4 linked regions of the Arabidopsis thaliana genome follow. The protein of the gene in region 2 interacts with the protein of the main gene of each other region in a pairwise test. Each region holds a gene or a part of one and is shown on either strand. Other genes may lie near its edges. The genes, in order: ARGOS, AT5G51160, AT5G11680 and UMAMIT27.

Region 1 (3,222 bases), on a different chromosome or scaffold from region 2:
CCTTCCTGCACCGCTAAGAGTAGCAATAGCGTACATGCCGCTGTACAGAGAGTGCATGAAAGCGGACGGTCGGTTACTGTCTCAGAGGCTAAGAGGACAGCTTGTAGAAGCAGTGAGACAGCTTCAAGGCTGTGCTGTTGCAGTTGTGGAAGTAAGCCAGACTCGTAACCTTATGGCGGTTTTGGAGCATCACCTTACCGCCATTTTCGATTGAAACAAATGGATTCTGCTTTTGGGCTTCACTGGTTTTCTAATTTCTACGAATAGTTGAAAATAAGCAAATAAATACTACGATTTAAATTAACGGATATTGGGATTTGGGTTTGAGATGACGAAGTGAGGTTTTTTTTTTTTTTTTGTATAATTTCTTCTTATGATGCTTCTATATTATGTCAGTCTCTTCTCCTCCATTTCTCTTATTGTGCGTTGAAGTATTCTCACATATATATATTATGATAATTTAATGTAATATTTATAACTTACATTTATATTGTATATCAATTTCATTGGATTAAGAACCCTAAGATTAATTAAGATCATCATATAATAAATTTCAGATTTACATGAAATTGCAAGTTACATCTGTATTAGCATTAGAATGAGAAGAAGGCATGAAGGCAAGAACGACGAGTAAAACCATAATCCCAATGGGAACCAATAGCAGCATAAACGGAGGCGGAGGTAACGGCGGCAAAACTAACGGAAGTATTAACAGAGATGCCGTTAGACCAACCAATAGGAACAGAGACTCTAAACTGAAATAATTCGCCGGGATCATCATCCTTTTCTGCGCCGAGAAACTCCGCCGTAACTCTTGCTTGCTTTTCTCCGGCGAACTTCGAAAGCTCATGTTTTTCCGGTTGTTTCTTCCGACGTCCATGACTCGGTTGTTCGAATAACTGTCTTGAATGTTTATAATATCTTTTTGTAAGTTTGAGATTTCTCGAATCATCTACAGAGGTTGTTTTGCTGTGTCTGGTTTGGATTTAGAAGATCAGTGACAAAATTTTGCTCAAAGATCTGATCTTTAGGGCAACTGGTTAACCAATGCAGCTTGATCGAAGCAATTGGTGAAGAATTCGAGACAAAATAAGGATGGCCCACGATTCAGAAACAGAGGATGCAGAACAAATCCGAGTTAACTCAACGATTCAGATGTAAAGGAAGAAGCTTTGAGGTGAAGGAGTTTGAGAAGCTTTGTGTATTGGTTTTGGTTGGATCAAGAAACTGTGTGAAACAAGTACTAGTAGGGAAATGAGGAAGACAAGTAGCAATGAAAGAGGAGAATTTATTAATAAAGGAGTTGGAGGAGAATCAGAAGATATGGGGGGAGAAAGAGAGAGAAGAGGGTTCAGTGAATTTAGGGATTTTCTGATATGTTGAAAAGACGAAAAAGAGGAACGTTTATTATATAAAGGGGCTGACAAATGTGAGGAGAAGCAAGTTGCTGAATTTGAAAGATTTGAATTTCGTGTGGCCTAGTCTTCCTCCACAATCACAAGGTTCTTCTCCCCTGGTCTTCTTTTCTCTTACTTTTTCTACCATTTCTTTTACTTATATAACATATGACGTAAGCTACAATCTCCTCTGATCTGAATATGTAAGTAGTATTTAAATAAATGAGTTTTAAAACCATCTTTTTACCATTCTATAAATTTTTAAGAAAATAATTTTCTAGTTTATTTTGAATCATCCAGTTATTAATATACAGGTTGATTTTTAAAATTTTATAATCAAATATTTGATGCGATGAGGAAATTATTTTTATTAACGTACCTACCAATAATTTTGTCGATGTTTATGGATAAATAAGGACCCATAGTGTTGTTCTTCTCGAAGCACTTCATATGGTGAATGCGCTTGTTCTACCAGGAAATGTTGGGCCAATATATGTATATGCTCTCATATTTCTATATATAAAGCCAAGTTAAATAGCTAGGAATGTTTTTCAAATTAATTCACGATGCTATTTTTATATATTTACGTGTATATGGAGATCGGACATAGTAACGTGACAACACGCTTTGCATGTGAAGTCTTGATGAGAGGATGGTTTTTAATAAAGCCAAGATGTTTATATCGCCAGAGGATGAATTCTCACAGAATGATGAATTAAAGCAAATAGACTTCGCTAGTAACTCAGTCGGAAATCACTTGTTACTTTTAATATATAAATATAGTTAATCCCATAAATATAATTCATGGTTCAATGAATTGAGAAACATATAGGCCATTTCCTTTAGAAACAACGTCAAGTGGTTTTATTAGTTTTTTTCCTGGCCTTTAGATACAAAAAAGCCGATGAGTAGTTTGGGAGAATTGATAGATTACCAATACTACAACACTAGTTATCCACATTAATTGTGCAGCATTACTTTAATTAGGCCAAATTAACAATATACGAAGACTGCAGCTTCAGATATTAAACTATTTGACGTGTACCAACAAAGTTTTTTGCATGGATGACAAACCCTAAATTAATAATTTAGAATGTTTATATCGAAAGATCCGCTAGTTTCTACTCCTACTCTACAGATACGAAAATCGTATATTTAGGGATGAGAAAATGGATCTCCTTGAATCGTTGACCAAAAAAAGGAAAGAAAATTGTCAAATGGATCTTCTCAGCATAAGCTCAACTAAAAAAATCAATTTATTTGTGTTTAGTGTTTGTCTCTACAATCAAGAGAATACTTTTACTAAAATATGGGTTCATAAAAATGTTCACTGAATGTATACACTAGTAACCAAAACTTATTTGGTGCGGTTTAAGATTTATTTTTTATTTAAATAAAAGTACTTCCTTTTAAGTTCTTTGGAAACAAAAGAATTAATCAGTTTAAAATTCAGTTCACTTGTGTGTTTGTTCTTGGATAGATATACAGTATTACGATTAAACATCTCTATTTGTACGTTTTTAATTAGTAATGGAATTTGTTTATTGAAGACTAGATGAGTAAATAATGGTGGAAAGTTAAGATGTAGGTGTGTATATATGGCAACCCATGCATGATTATTGCCTTGAACACCGCACACATTTAGATTGGTGTCCAGTGGACCTGTATCAAAAAGTTCAAGAAAAAAAAGTATTATCATAATATTATTCCCTCTGTCTTACTAATAAGTCAGTCATGTTTAAATATTGCTTCTTCTTGTTTTATATACCCTACTTCTAATTTAATTGATTTTCGACAGTCAATATGCATAGACATATGTTTTGGT
Region 2 (4,015 bases):
CACTACTTCAGGACTATCCGAGGTATGTTGTACAACAAGAGTTAACCTTGAATGTTGGATTTTTGCATACTCAGTACCTTGTGTTAGATATTGTACTGATTATCATATCCTTAATTCAGATAAGTAAGCAAATTGATGCTGTTAATGAAGTTTACAAGCTCCACAATCTGCCGGAGTTCTACAAGGTCCACTTGCTTTTCTATATAGTACTTTACAGCTTGATTGTATTTTACTGTTTAGCCAATGAAAATCGTCATGGACACTTATCCCATCGAGTCTGCTTCAATTTTTCTTTTAGGATCCGCGGCCGCATATATCCTTGGTCTGGGCGTTGGGTGATATTAGAACTTCCCTAAAGGGAGCTGTTGACGTGGAACTTAGGAAGCTTAGAGCAGGTGGTTGTGTGCAGAATCGTATCTTCACCTCTAAGTTTTGTGGGATCGAGTGTAAGATAGGAAACAAAACACACAAAATATGTAAACTCCCAGATGAATAAGAAAATCTCAAATTTCTGTGTTTGCAGACCAATCAGGTATGCATTTGTAACGACATAGAAGGATGAGTTGATCTGTGTTCTTGGGTATTCCATAATATATGTCTCTTCATAGAAAAAAGTCTCCATATATCATAATATCACTCGTAATAACATTGGTGATTTCTGGACAATGCAACAACAAGTCCTTGTGATTTGAAATAAGGTAGATATTGAACTGGCTACTATTATGTTACAAAACGTTTACATGAAAGTGAAATCATGGAGCAAATTTTTTGTGACCTGGAGTCCAAGAAGTGAGCGAGCATACCAATAGGGTTCTCGAGCAACCTCATCAAACCCGGGGTGGTAGCAGCGAGGATGGATGTGATGAGAATGCAGTAAAGCTTGACATGATCAGGTGCAATGCTGGCCATGGTTGTGTTGTGCGAGAAATACATAGCAATCATACAGATCTGAAGCTGGAACCGCAATGGGAACCCGAGGGTGAGAATGTTGAGCATAGACAGTGAAACCGAAAACCCAATTGTGTTGAAGAACACAAACAAAGTGAAAGCAACTCCATTGAAGGTCCCCATGATAGATTGCCCTGCTGTATGAGCTTGTTGATTTGTAGTATTCACATTCGTTGTGTTCTGGGATACAGCAGGTATTGAGCTATCTTGCCAGGTTCCACCTGGTGGGGTCAAGCTGGCCTGAAACGTGGCTGTGGCGACTAGTGAAGCCACCACTAGTAATGCGCTACGTGCTTCTGATGGTGAGTCTCTGTGCTTTTTGAAAGTGAAGTACTTGACAAGTTCTTTATGGCTTTGGGACTTCATTGTTCTCTCTTGGCATGTGGAAGTAGAAGTGGTTCTCTCGACATTAGTAGTGCCAATGTCTCGCCCTCTCTGAGCTCCAGCTTCGATGAGTTTCTCATAGATTTCTCTATCGCCAGCTTCGCTCGGAAACATAACCAGCAAATCCATCGCTGATAGACCCATCTTGTTCATAGCATTCACCTCAAATGACCTTGATTCTTCTGGTATTGCCTGAACCAACACTTCAATCACCTGTAGGCAAAAGAAAAACAGAGTTTGATTCCACTGGAAGAAAACTATTTAACCGCAACTTAATTCGTCGTACCTGGCGATTTTTTCTCCAGGTTGCAAGATGAAGAGCAGTGTTACCCTGTTCATCTTTCTTATTCAACACATCAAATCGATTTGTCTCTGTGATCAACTCAACAATGGCTATGACTGCTTCGATCTCTAGGTGCAGAACAGCAAGATGCAAAGCAGTTTGACCTTGTACGGTCTCGTCTTCTAAACAATCAACACAGCTCGCTACAATCTCTCTGATCACATCGATTTTCCCTCTCATCGTTGCCACATGTAGAGGAGTCTTTCCATCTCTATCTTTTAAGCGGCAAAGCTTCTTTTCAACCCCCAAAGTTGCCCTCACAGTCTCTACTTGTCCGGCTGCCGCAGCTGCATGAAGAGGGCTAAACCCGTTTTTGTCCAAGTCAAAGACTGACCGCTGCCTGAGAATCTTTCCGGCGACGACATACTCTTCACTCCTTGGGTTGAAGGAGTTATAGAGAGGATCAGAGACGATCTCCTTCGGTAAATGAGTCTCAAAAGCATCCATTTTGGTGATGATGCAGAAGAAAGAGAGAGAGAAGATCGAGTTGAATATACAATGAAGGTGTGTACCATCACGACGCTTGTTTGAAATTTTCTATTACAAAACTCCCTTTGACATTTGACTTTGTAGCATATGAAGTATTCCTTAAAGTGGAACAAATGCTTACAAGTGTCAGTTGTTTGCATTACTTTATCTTTTGATTTTCTGACCCTGAGATCATCGTATGTGCAAATTCATATCCGCTCCGACCAATACAGATGAAATTTCAACAATTTGAGTAATACAATAGTTTTTGGGTATGAGAGTCAAATCTTAGACGAATTGACTTTTTTTCCATCGGTTGAGAGAACTTGCATTAGGAAACTAAACAAAACTGTGTTTTTCTTGAAGTGAGTTTTTAAGCAATAGATCAAGATTATAACAAGACAAAAAGGAATATATCTAGTGATCTGTTTCAAGTTTCAACACTGTGTTGGTGTTAACAAATCAAGACAGCTTGACTCGCTTGCCATAAATCTTCTTCATTCTGCTACTTCTCATTGAAATAAAGAAGAGACAGTGGAGTTGTTGTTATTACGTGAAAGAAAATAAAAAACAGGCTCCTAAATCCTATGAATCACTTCAATCTCTTAAGTTTTCTGTGTGGAGGAACCCTTTCTTTCTGGAAAGTTTCACATTAACTTCCTGAAACACAATCAAAATCATGATTCCGTAAAGGGTCCTTTTTGGTTTGCTCAATTTCAACGTCAGGTGCTAATATAGTATCAGACAGCTTCTGCTTATACTTCTAAAGACCGGGAATTGCTTCCAAGTTATACTTTTCTTCGGCTTTCGGAGTTTCGCCTTCTCGGCTCTCCTGCGTTTTCGGTTTCTTCAATGCATCTAGGGTCTGGAGATAAGAATAGGACGAACTATGAGGGTATTTGCTGCTAGGATTGCTTATTTGGCTAGCAAGAAACCGACGGATGAGTCCCCTCAGAAACGGAGCCATTGTATCAGGTTCATATTCGAGGTAGTACATTATTCCTCCCATGCATCCACAGAATAAAGCCACCTGTTTCCATTAATTGTATAAAACATCAGTTCCATTGCTCAAAGGGGAAGAAAGTTGGAAATAACAAAAGTGGTTTGTAATTGTATTGTACCTCAGCATTTTTAATGTCGGGAAGAAGGTGGCGATTAACAAGTATCTCCCACAGAGAATCTCCTGCTCGGGGAAGAACATATAGAGCAAGCTCAGAGCGTCTCGGTTTCTTCTCCAGCATAACTGAGAGGGCTGCTGCACCACCCGCAAACCAATAAACGAGCTTGTGGTCTTTGGTTGCAACTTTTCTATGGGCACATATGAAAGCCTAATGCAAATGGGATGAAGGCACATACATTTGGGAATGGTTTTAGGAAACTATGTGAATTGTATGAAATGAGGGGACACAAATCAAATGTAAAAACCAGCTACCTGAAAAATCCCAACAAAAGCAGACAAGAAGGACGTCGATCTAACTGAATCTCTGATTGCAAGCCAAGATGTCCGGTAAGGAGAAGCCATGAACTGAAATGAAAGTGTAGGATGGCATCAGAAACTACATATCATGTCTGACTAATGCATAAACCATAGGAATCTAAAAGACTGAAACGGCAAATATTGAGGGACAGTCTTACTTTTTGTAGGTGTAGAACAACATATGGGACAAAAGTCAGGGAGAAATATAATGGAAATGTTTTCTTGAATGTAGCTGACATTGCATTAGCATTTTGGGCCAGACACGAGTTAGTGTTTGGATGAATAGCTGCACAGGGAATGATGGAAGCAAACTCTTCCACCTTCACGTCGCTTGCTTCGTTTTTACTAGAAATATAGGCTGACAAGGAGGCTACATCAATTGGACCACCTCTGCA
Region 3 (4,484 bases), about 17 Mb from region 2:
CGCTTCTAATCAGAGAGGGCGTGCGAGCCCCCGAAATTAGGGTTTCTAGGTGAAAACGATCGACAATTGTAAATCCTCACTCGTACCTTCGCTCTCGCTCCTCCTAATTTGGACCAGTGTCGCTATAAATTTCTGCAGAACTAACTAGAATGCTATGCCTAGTGAGTGTTACAATTTGTTTTGTCAGAAAAAAAACACCCTGGTCTTTGTTTTTTTTAATAAATGGCTGGAAAGCCACTTTCTCTGGAAAATAAAGCTAGAATGCCACCTTCGTATTTTCATTTTCTTTTACAATTTTGTTTTAAATCAAAAACTAAGGAAAGGTCCAAAAACCCAATTTCAATATTGAAAACTACCAACCCAACCTAAAGTATCCGATTATCCATTCCAAATTTTATGGTCCAACCCTGAACCTCAAATCTTAGTCCATTGGGTTTTAGCTTGCAAAATATATGTTTTGTGGTTTTGTGTGTCCCACTAGTGGCCACGACTTACTACAAGCTCAAGTATTCGCGATTTAGCTGAAGAAAATTGAGCGTGCGGATCAGCCAAATCCGACTTTTCATGGTTCAGGCGAACCGGCAGGGTTTTCGACCCACATTTTGTTCAATATATGAACCAAACTTATGATTATTACGACTCCAATTTTACCAGATACATCCACACACCAAACAAGTCTCATCTTTCTTTACACAGATGGTTTTAGACTTTTAGTTTTCAACTTTAAACAAACAAACAACACGTTTTGCTTATTAGCAACACTAATCTGTTGCTGTTTCTGTATTCATAGCCTTTGTATTTTTTTTTTCCGTGTATCTCAATGTTCCGCCGCACCCGAATGGTAAGCTCTACGCCTCAACTGAGATTCCCCTGATGGCTGTTGCAGATATATCCTCGTTGGATCATTAGGGTCCACGTACCTGCACATACACAATGACGACCACACAAGATTTTATGAGGAACAACAGCTTTTACTACTATCAAAAAACTTTCCGATTGATTTCTGATGGGACTTACGCATGTCTCATCATTTCGTCCACAGGTGTCTGAGCGGCTTGAAGAGGATCAACATGAGGAGCTGCCGCTGCTGCTTCTGCTGCTTGTTGCATTTGTCTGTTGTATTGTCTCACTGATGATATGAGATTCAAGAAGAGAGGAACAAATGTCCCACAACCACCTTCCTTAAATAGGATCTTGAAACTGTGTGTTGAATATAGAGCTCTATGCTCATTTTCTGGCACCACCTGGAAATTTTGTTACATGCCAATAAGTAAATATGTATAGTTTCCTTACAAGGAAAGAAACTATAAATTCTCCATGAAAGTTTGTACTTACAGGCTCCACTTGTCCAGCAATATTGTTGCAGTGAAATATTGGCTGATTAAATTTCTCGGCATGGATGTAAAGCTACAGAGTAACATATAATCCATAAGCTAATATGTAGCATGTAGTTCCATAACCAAATTTAACAGAGCTACACTTGTGCCATGTATTAACTAAATCAGAGACAAAAATAAGATAAAGTTACTGTACCAGGGGCATGTCAAAAGCAACAAAGTTGTCAACAGGCTTGCTTGAAACAAAGACCATCCGTATATTAGACAAGTAAATCACCCCCTTGGCCTTAACATGACCTCCATGCCCTCTGGATCATACAACAAGAAAGAACATCAGGGAAGTGTTTAAAGCCCAGAGCTCATATGTCTGTTCACTTCTGAGACTTATCTTATTTACAAGTAAACTTAATGGTTCATATGCTAGATGAGTGGATCTAAACCGACTCAAAACGGTACTAAAATGGAGACCAACAATAATCATCAAATCAATAAACCACTTAAGGAGATCCAAAACATGCGTGACGAGAGAAGGGAACACGAACCCAGGGATCTTGTCGACTTCAAACTCAACACCATCTCGGACTAGGACGAACATTTCATTAACAAAGGGAACAGGCATCCCATTGGGTAGTAATTGAGGGTTTAGCGCCATGAACTGCAATTCAGATTGATCAAGCCAATGATTATATAATTCCTTGTTCTGTTCTTCTTCTCTGCGTAACCTGATCACACAAATGAGAATATAAACACATTTCCAAATATACTTAGACAATCAGAAGATAATTCAAAGGAACATGCTCCAAATTAGCAAATAATTATTCACAGATCCAAGTAACTAGAGCCAATTAACATCCACATATCATCAGCTTCCAATTTCAGATATGCAAAAGAGCAAATAAAATTGAGGTTTTTAGCTAATTCAAATCGAAACGTTCCTATAATGTAGAAACAAAGACTAGGATTAATAATACGTGTTCAAAACAAATCAATCAACAAAGAAAATATCTAATTCCTTAGAGAATCAAAATCTGATAGCAATAAGAAAGCAGTAACAGAACGATCCAAGTTCAATTTCAAGCAATCCTTTACTCGTAATTTTCTCGCGAATAGAAAAGCTGAAGGAACATACCTGGGTCTACAGAGCTTAAAAGGATTTTGATCGGAGAGATTGAAGAAGAAGAGGATAGGGGTAATAAAAGGGCCAAGATCACAGTTTCTCGTTTTTTCCAGAAAAGAGACGCGACGCGGTTTATTCTTAAAACCTTCTAACCATTTTATTCGTCCCTCTACTTATTTCTTTAGTTCGATTTTCGCCCGCAATTTGATTTCGTTACAATTGTCCCCATCTACAGTTACTATTTGGGCCTTATTACATCTCAGATTAAAGGGACCGTTCAGCCCATTTTCAGTTGTTTTAACTTTGGTTTCGGTTTAGGTGTTTATTTATTTTTTTGACATCTTGTTTCGGTTTAGTTTTGGTTTGGATTGTTTGAGCTTTCGATTTTAACCAAAACGTGAAGACGAGTTTTAGAGATTCTTGTTATTGTTTTAGCTATTTATAACAAGTAGTTACCTAAAATGCCAAAATCATTAGCTTAAGATTAGGAGTTTTGTTGTTTTTAGAACATTTTGCTCAGTACAATTTAGAAACCACTTTCAAAAGAGTATTCAGCTATGCTTCTATAGTCCTATTATCTATATGAAACTTTTGATAAACTCTTCAAAATAATGATACAAGTTCTTTAATTCTGCAACAATTATACCATTTTAATAAAACAACCAATAAGATACAACAAGTGGCAGAAAAAAGCATATTATTCCCTTCCAAGACAAGTTGATCGATTTTGTGATGTGGGATGGAAAGTGTAACTTTGAGACAATAATGATTTGTAGATTATATTAGTAACAATTTATTATTTATCAGCAAAGACAGAGAGAGAGTTCACAAACAGCATCATAATGTAGAAGAGAAAACAAACAACAAACAAACAAACAAAAAACTTAAATACAAGCCTTAAGAAACTATCAAGGGTTGTGAATAGTATAATCTGCAGGTTTCTTCAACAAAACTTTTTTAACGGTAGTTTCTGTACACAGGGCTGTACATGCTGCTCTCTGCAAACTTGACAAGATCCTTTGCACGTGGCAGGTTCGACGCCAATCCTACACCACAATACATCGATTTTAGAACTTGAGATTAGAGAGTTCAGACAGTCTCATTAAAAGAGTTAAGACAGTTTCATTCAACTAACCGAGGTCATAGGTTTTGGCGGCGACACAGGCTGCAATGTTAGCAGAGATCTCTCTGATGTTTGAGAATGGCGGGTAGATCAGACCATTGGCGTAATGCTCTTCTGTCACTTGTGCGGCCAATGCTTCAGCTGTTGAAAACATGAGAGAGAGATGACATTGAGAATCTTTAAGTGTCTTTATCAGTATCCATGTTTGATTTTCTGAAGTTTATTTTTACTTACAAGCTGCGAGGAGCATGTCATCACGGACACGAATTGCCCCAGACATGATCAAACCAAGACCCAGACCAGGGAAAATGTAGCAATTGTTTGCCTGAAGTTAAGTAGGATAGTGGAAATATGATGTGAGCTCTAAGATTGTCAGATGTACAAAGTTGAGAGAGAAGAAGTTGTTGAAATAGCACGAACCTGGCCAGGCAAGTAGGTTTTGCCATCGTACACAACAGGATCAAATGGGCTTCCACTTCCAAAGATTGCACGACCCTTTTTTTAAGCACAATATATGATTAGATTCGAGGAGCAGCATGAAAACCAAATTATAATTTTGTTGTATAATCAGGAGTGAGGACATGAATCACATTTAGATGTCATATGAGACAATATTATACCTTGGTCCATGTGTAAGCCTGTTCAGCAGTACACTCAGCTTGAGAAGTAGGGTTTGAGAGAGCAAGAATCAACGGTTTCTATAAGCCAACACCAAGACCAGCATTAGAAAAATAGCATAAATACCTTGTTTTCTGAAAAAGCAGAGAGTAAGAACAAGAAGAAACCTCGTTGTTGGTAGCCATGGCCTCGACAACTTCTTTTGTGAAAGTCTGACCCACACCGGATGTTCCAATGAGAACGGTTGGCTTGATTGCCTGTTTGAAAAAGTTTCAACAAACAGTGAACA
Region 4 (4,398 bases), on a different chromosome or scaffold from region 2:
CCCAATTTGGATTCGATCCCTTTTACGCTCTGTCCTTTCACTGGATCCATGCAGTACCTCGTTTTTGTTATTTATAATGCACATAATAATTGTTATACATTTCAATATAGAAGTTAATGAAAAAAATTATACTGTATTAGTATATAGTTGTTTCTCCCCAATATGGGTATCGAAATTTTGCCTTCCTTTATTTTGTCCGTCGAACTTTGTAGGGACAAAAAGCAGATGCTATTCTAGATTAAGGTAAGGCTTAGAAAAAATGGACGGGGCATTTTCACTCCAGTAGTGCATAATATATATACAGTAGTACTAATTACAATTGGTCTTTATTTTTTCTAGACCTTAAATTCTTACTGTTTTAGCAACAGGCTACAAACTCAAAACGCAACACATTTAAAATCAGCACGAAAATAATCCAAGAAACAGAGCTTTTGAAACTAAAAACAATATTACGAGGCTCTTTTAACAGATCTGTTGTGAAATGTTTTGATATATCATATATGCTTTATATTGGTTAGTTTTGAATATTATAACAAATCTGTTTTGTTATCTCTTTACGAAATTATAAATCTGCAAACGAAAAGTATGAATTATACAAACTGCTTGCACAATTTGAATCTGAATATTTATGACTGGTCTTTAACGTGAGTGTGCTTGCACAATTTAAATCTAAATATTTATGACTGGTCTTTACGGTAAATGTATTCAGTAGTAAATACTAATTTACGACAATGAAGCCATATGAATCTTTCTATGACAACAATATTATTTGATTAAATGGGCGACCTAGACTCGTTGATCTTCGTTGTTCATCCGAGAAGACAATGTAGTTATGTCTGCTTCCGTTTCTTTGTTCTTACCCCACAAGAACACGTAGAGACCTATTATTGTCCCTACTGATCCAATCACACTGTATAGCAAAAGTTACAAAATAAATTGTAATTAGTAATACGAGCATGAACCTAATACATTAACATCTATAAAGCTATACAAAAAATTTCATAGAGATGATCGAAGAGAGCACCTTCCGAGGTATAAAGGAGTGTGTAAGATAAGGAAATCGAATAGAGTAGCCGATATGAGAGAAACTGGCATAATTGCTGATGCGAAAACAGCTCCTAATCTGTTTATTCCCCATGTCGCTGCTACAGTCGACATTGCTTGTCCTATCACTCCCTATAATACGTGTATAGTAATAAGGTAATATTAGGTAAACCCCAAAATTTATTTAATTATTTACATATATACTACATTATAATTTATAAAAATGTTAAGATTTCTGATAATATAGTATTATAACTTACAGCATATATTATGACACCAATCACAAATCCATCGTCGATGATCCAATGTTTAAGGTCTCTACTCTTGTAAAGACTCAATAGAGCACATTGAAAAGCTGCGAAAATTGACATGAGACAAGTGCTTGAGAATTTGCAAGGATACTTGATGCTTAAAGTCCCTTGAAACAATATCCATAGAGATAGCAACACGATTCCTATGACTAAGTAGAGACATCCAAGAAGCCAATTCTTGGTGTTGTGATCGCTGTTGTTGTGAGGAAGAGCCTCTAGGTGAGAGTGAGAGTTTGATATATGAGGGCCTTTGTAAAATGTTAAGAACAAAGCTCCACTTATACATATTAGAGTTCCCATCACTTTTATCATTCCTGCTTGGGTCTTTAGATCTTTTATCTTCTCAGTTCTGAAAAGTAATATAACCTTTTAGATGATAAATTTGAGATAATTTATGAGTAAGGTTCTTTTGAGTATTTCTATATATAGAAGTATAATATGCTTGATGAAAAAACAAAAGAAATTATATGCACTGTATACATAACAAATACGAATAAATCCTGCATGAACCCATTGCATAGTAATAGTAAATACAGTACTTATTTTAATGATAAAGAAGTTAGATGGTTCCATAATTACCTCAAAATAAGAGCGAAAGCAAAGGTGATTGCAGGCATCAAGCTTACCAAAGCACACGCAACAGTTGCTGACGTGTAGGACAGACCAAGCAAATAGAAAAATTGCATCAAACTCGCCCTGCAAATTTAAACCCAAAACTAAGCTAAGATTAAAAACAATTTAGCTAGCTTATGAAGATTTTATGCTCACTTGAAAGAAAATCTTTCTTCTGTGGAAACAATCAATGTATAATGGAAAAGGAAAATGGAAAATGGACGACAAAAGAACATAAGAAATTGTGAGAAGACAAACCCGAGCAAACCACTGATGAAATGATCGACCATTAGCCTAAACGTTATTTTCGGTATTATTTTCCTGTTAACAATAAGACATAAACTTTAGGGGAAAGAAAATATCAATCTACTTCATATATTAGTAACATGTAGTGGTGTTTATTTACATGTTATAATAGAGCATTCTGACAATCTTCAATTGTAGTAAATGTTGTTAATTATGTAAATATGAAAAAACTATTTTGATATAATCAAATTTTTGAAAATTTTGCATAAGAAAAATATATAACTCAACTATTTTCATCAAAATATCAATAAACCTTTCCAAAAAATAGGCGATAGGAACCAGAATGAAAGAGGAAATAGCCATTCGATAAGCACCAATGATCATATGGTTCACACCAACATCAAGAGCTTTCTTCACAAGTGCATTCACCGAACCCATCGCTACTTGTGATGTCACCATAACTATCATCGGTGGCCATTTTGAGACTACTTTCACTCCTCGCATATCCTCACCCATCTCTCCCTCGTTCTCTCTTTCTTGAATTCTATGTGAGTTTGTGTGTTAGAAAGAGTTAAGACCCAAAGTACTTTGAGTTTGGCAACCACCCTTCCCATATTTATAACTTATAAGAAAGAGTACTGTGTTTGGGTTCTGTCATTTTAATAGAAAAAACCCCTGAATTATTGCTCTATTATATTAACTTAGTGGTCTTTCTATCAAAAATAAATAAATAAAAAACTTAGTGCTGTCAAGTTCAATTTAAATAATATTAGAATCTTGTTCCACATTATGTAAAATTATAAATTACAAAATAGTTCAAATATTTGAACAAGTTGAATGTTCCTACACACAACTAGCTTAATTTTATTTACTTTTCTGGTCTAAAAAAACTTTCTTTTTATATAGGATAAGCGTTTGTGAAGAACAAAGCACTACTACAAACCCGAGCATATTATTAACTAATGAAAGAACAAAATTAGTAGGATACTTAAGTTTAAGAAGTCGTCACAAATATAACTGCTCATGCGGTAACAATCTTTTTTTTTTCCGGTCAATATGTGTATATTTACTGTTATATTTATTTATTTATTATATAGTAGAAATGAGAACCGATACATTGGCTTTATCACACGTTTCATGAGGCGCCGATGAATTAGCTTTTCCATTTTATACGTTATATGAGTAAATGAGAAACCGATACATTGGCTTTATCATGCGTGTTATCTGCCGCGCACCTTATTAATTAGCAAAATGATTTTCATAAAAGAGAGTCGGAGAGATGATGTAACTGAGTTTAGTGAGAAAAAATAAGTCATGCAAACCCGAGCTAGTTGGTATATCTAAATCTATACTTCGTGTAATCTAATGACACTTAAACATTTGTAATCTAATGACACTTAAACACTTGCATGCCCGTCTCCGTCTGGTCGTATAGGTTCAAGTTTGGGTTCTTTACTTTCAATTGTAATTGGACTGACTCAAGGATTTGTTGAATTTGGTGCAAAATAGGAAAAAACACGAACTTTTCAACGAGATAAACTAATCATATGTAGTAAATAAGTACTATATGAGATTTTGCAACTCTCATTCAATAACTTTTTGCGTGCAAATTTGTTTTGTGCCCATTTTGAATTATATTCGATCCATTAATTATTCTCTTTTGTCTTTTCATTGGATCCATCTTGTTTTGCACTATCTCGTTTTTGTTAATTATAAATGCGTATAATTAGCTCTATATTTGAACTTTTAAAGTTGATGAAAAAATTATATTATCCCCATTTGGGTATATCGAACTCTTTCATTCCTTTAGTTTGTCCATATAACTTTGTAGGGACAAAAAGCAGATGCTATTTTTAGATTCAGTAAGTTATCTAGAAAAGGCTTAGAACATAATGGACGGGGCATTTTCTCTCCAGTAGTGCAGACATATATATTCCTTCTACTAATTAGATCAATTCACCAAATATAATAACAATTGAGTTAGTGGTTCTAATGATGTTAAATTTTTTTTATAAAAAAGTTGTCACAAAAGAAAAGTTAGTGGTTTTGACTTAGTTCTAGAATAAATTTACAAGATTGGTATATAATATATTCTATCTTTTCATATTAAATCATATCTAAAGTTTTTCACATAAATTAAGAAATAATAAAAAAAATATTTTGTTTATTTTATATATATAAATTG

Evidence for each region.
Region 1: the proteins of AT5G51160 (region 2) and ARGOS interact in a protein complementation assay, tested with the Arabidopsis thaliana proteins (one large-scale study listed by BioGRID).
Region 3: the proteins of AT5G51160 (region 2) and AT5G11680 interact in a protein complementation assay, tested with the Arabidopsis thaliana proteins (one large-scale study listed by BioGRID).
Region 4: the proteins of AT5G51160 (region 2) and UMAMIT27 interact in a protein complementation assay, tested with the Arabidopsis thaliana proteins (one large-scale study listed by BioGRID).

The regions. Positions count from the first base shown.
Region 1 is NC_003074.8:22,127,771-22,130,992, reverse strand, and holds ARGOS (auxin-regulated gene involved in organ size), read right to left. Parts: upstream 1,489-3,222; 5' UTR 953-1,488; coding exon 560-952; 3' UTR 521-559; downstream 1-520. Other genes in the region: AT3G59910 (Ankyrin repeat family protein), read left to right, coding at 1-214. UniProt on the Arabidopsis thaliana protein: Promotes cell proliferation-dependent organ growth. Takes part in the AXR1-dependent auxin signaling pathway that requires ANT during organogenesis.
Region 2 is NC_003076.8:20,790,387-20,794,401, reverse strand, and holds AT5G51160 (Ankyrin repeat family protein), read right to left. Parts: upstream 2,330-4,015; 5' UTR 2,123-2,329; coding exon 1,619-2,122; intron 1,546-1,618; coding exon 721-1,545; 3' UTR 561-720; downstream 1-560. Other genes in the region: AT5G51170 (U6 snRNA phosphodiesterase-like protein), read left to right, coding at 1-22, 120-185, 299-496; AT5G51150 (Mitochondrial import inner membrane translocase subunit Tim17/Tim22/Tim23 family protein), read right to left, coding at 2,907-3,173, 3,265-3,471, 3,576-3,668, 3,779-4,015.
Region 3 is NC_003076.8:3,756,968-3,761,451, reverse strand, and holds AT5G11680 (classical AGP protein), read right to left. Parts: upstream 2,644-4,484; 5' UTR 2,467-2,643; intron 2,060-2,466; 5' UTR 1,990-2,059; coding exon 1,880-1,989; intron 1,646-1,879; coding exon 1,534-1,645; intron 1,408-1,533; coding exon 1,336-1,407; intron 1,245-1,335; coding exon 1,018-1,244; intron 921-1,017; coding exon 818-920; 3' UTR 539-817; downstream 1-538. Other genes in the region: NADP-ME2 (NADP-malic enzyme 2), read right to left, coding at 3,412-3,500, 3,590-3,718, 3,812-3,902, 3,998-4,072, 4,198-4,275, 4,363-4,452.
Region 4 is NC_003070.9:3,851,648-3,856,045, reverse strand, and holds UMAMIT27 (nodulin MtN21 /EamA-like transporter family protein), read right to left. Parts: upstream 2,863-4,398; 5' UTR 2,730-2,862; coding exon 2,527-2,729; intron 2,289-2,526; coding exon 2,226-2,288; exon of another isoform or gene 2,052-2,225; coding exon 1,935-2,051; intron 1,705-1,934; coding exon 1,305-1,704; intron 1,177-1,304; coding exon 1,025-1,176; coding exon of another isoform or gene 1,000-1,024; exon of another isoform or gene 911-999; coding exon 787-910; 3' UTR 539-786; downstream 1-538.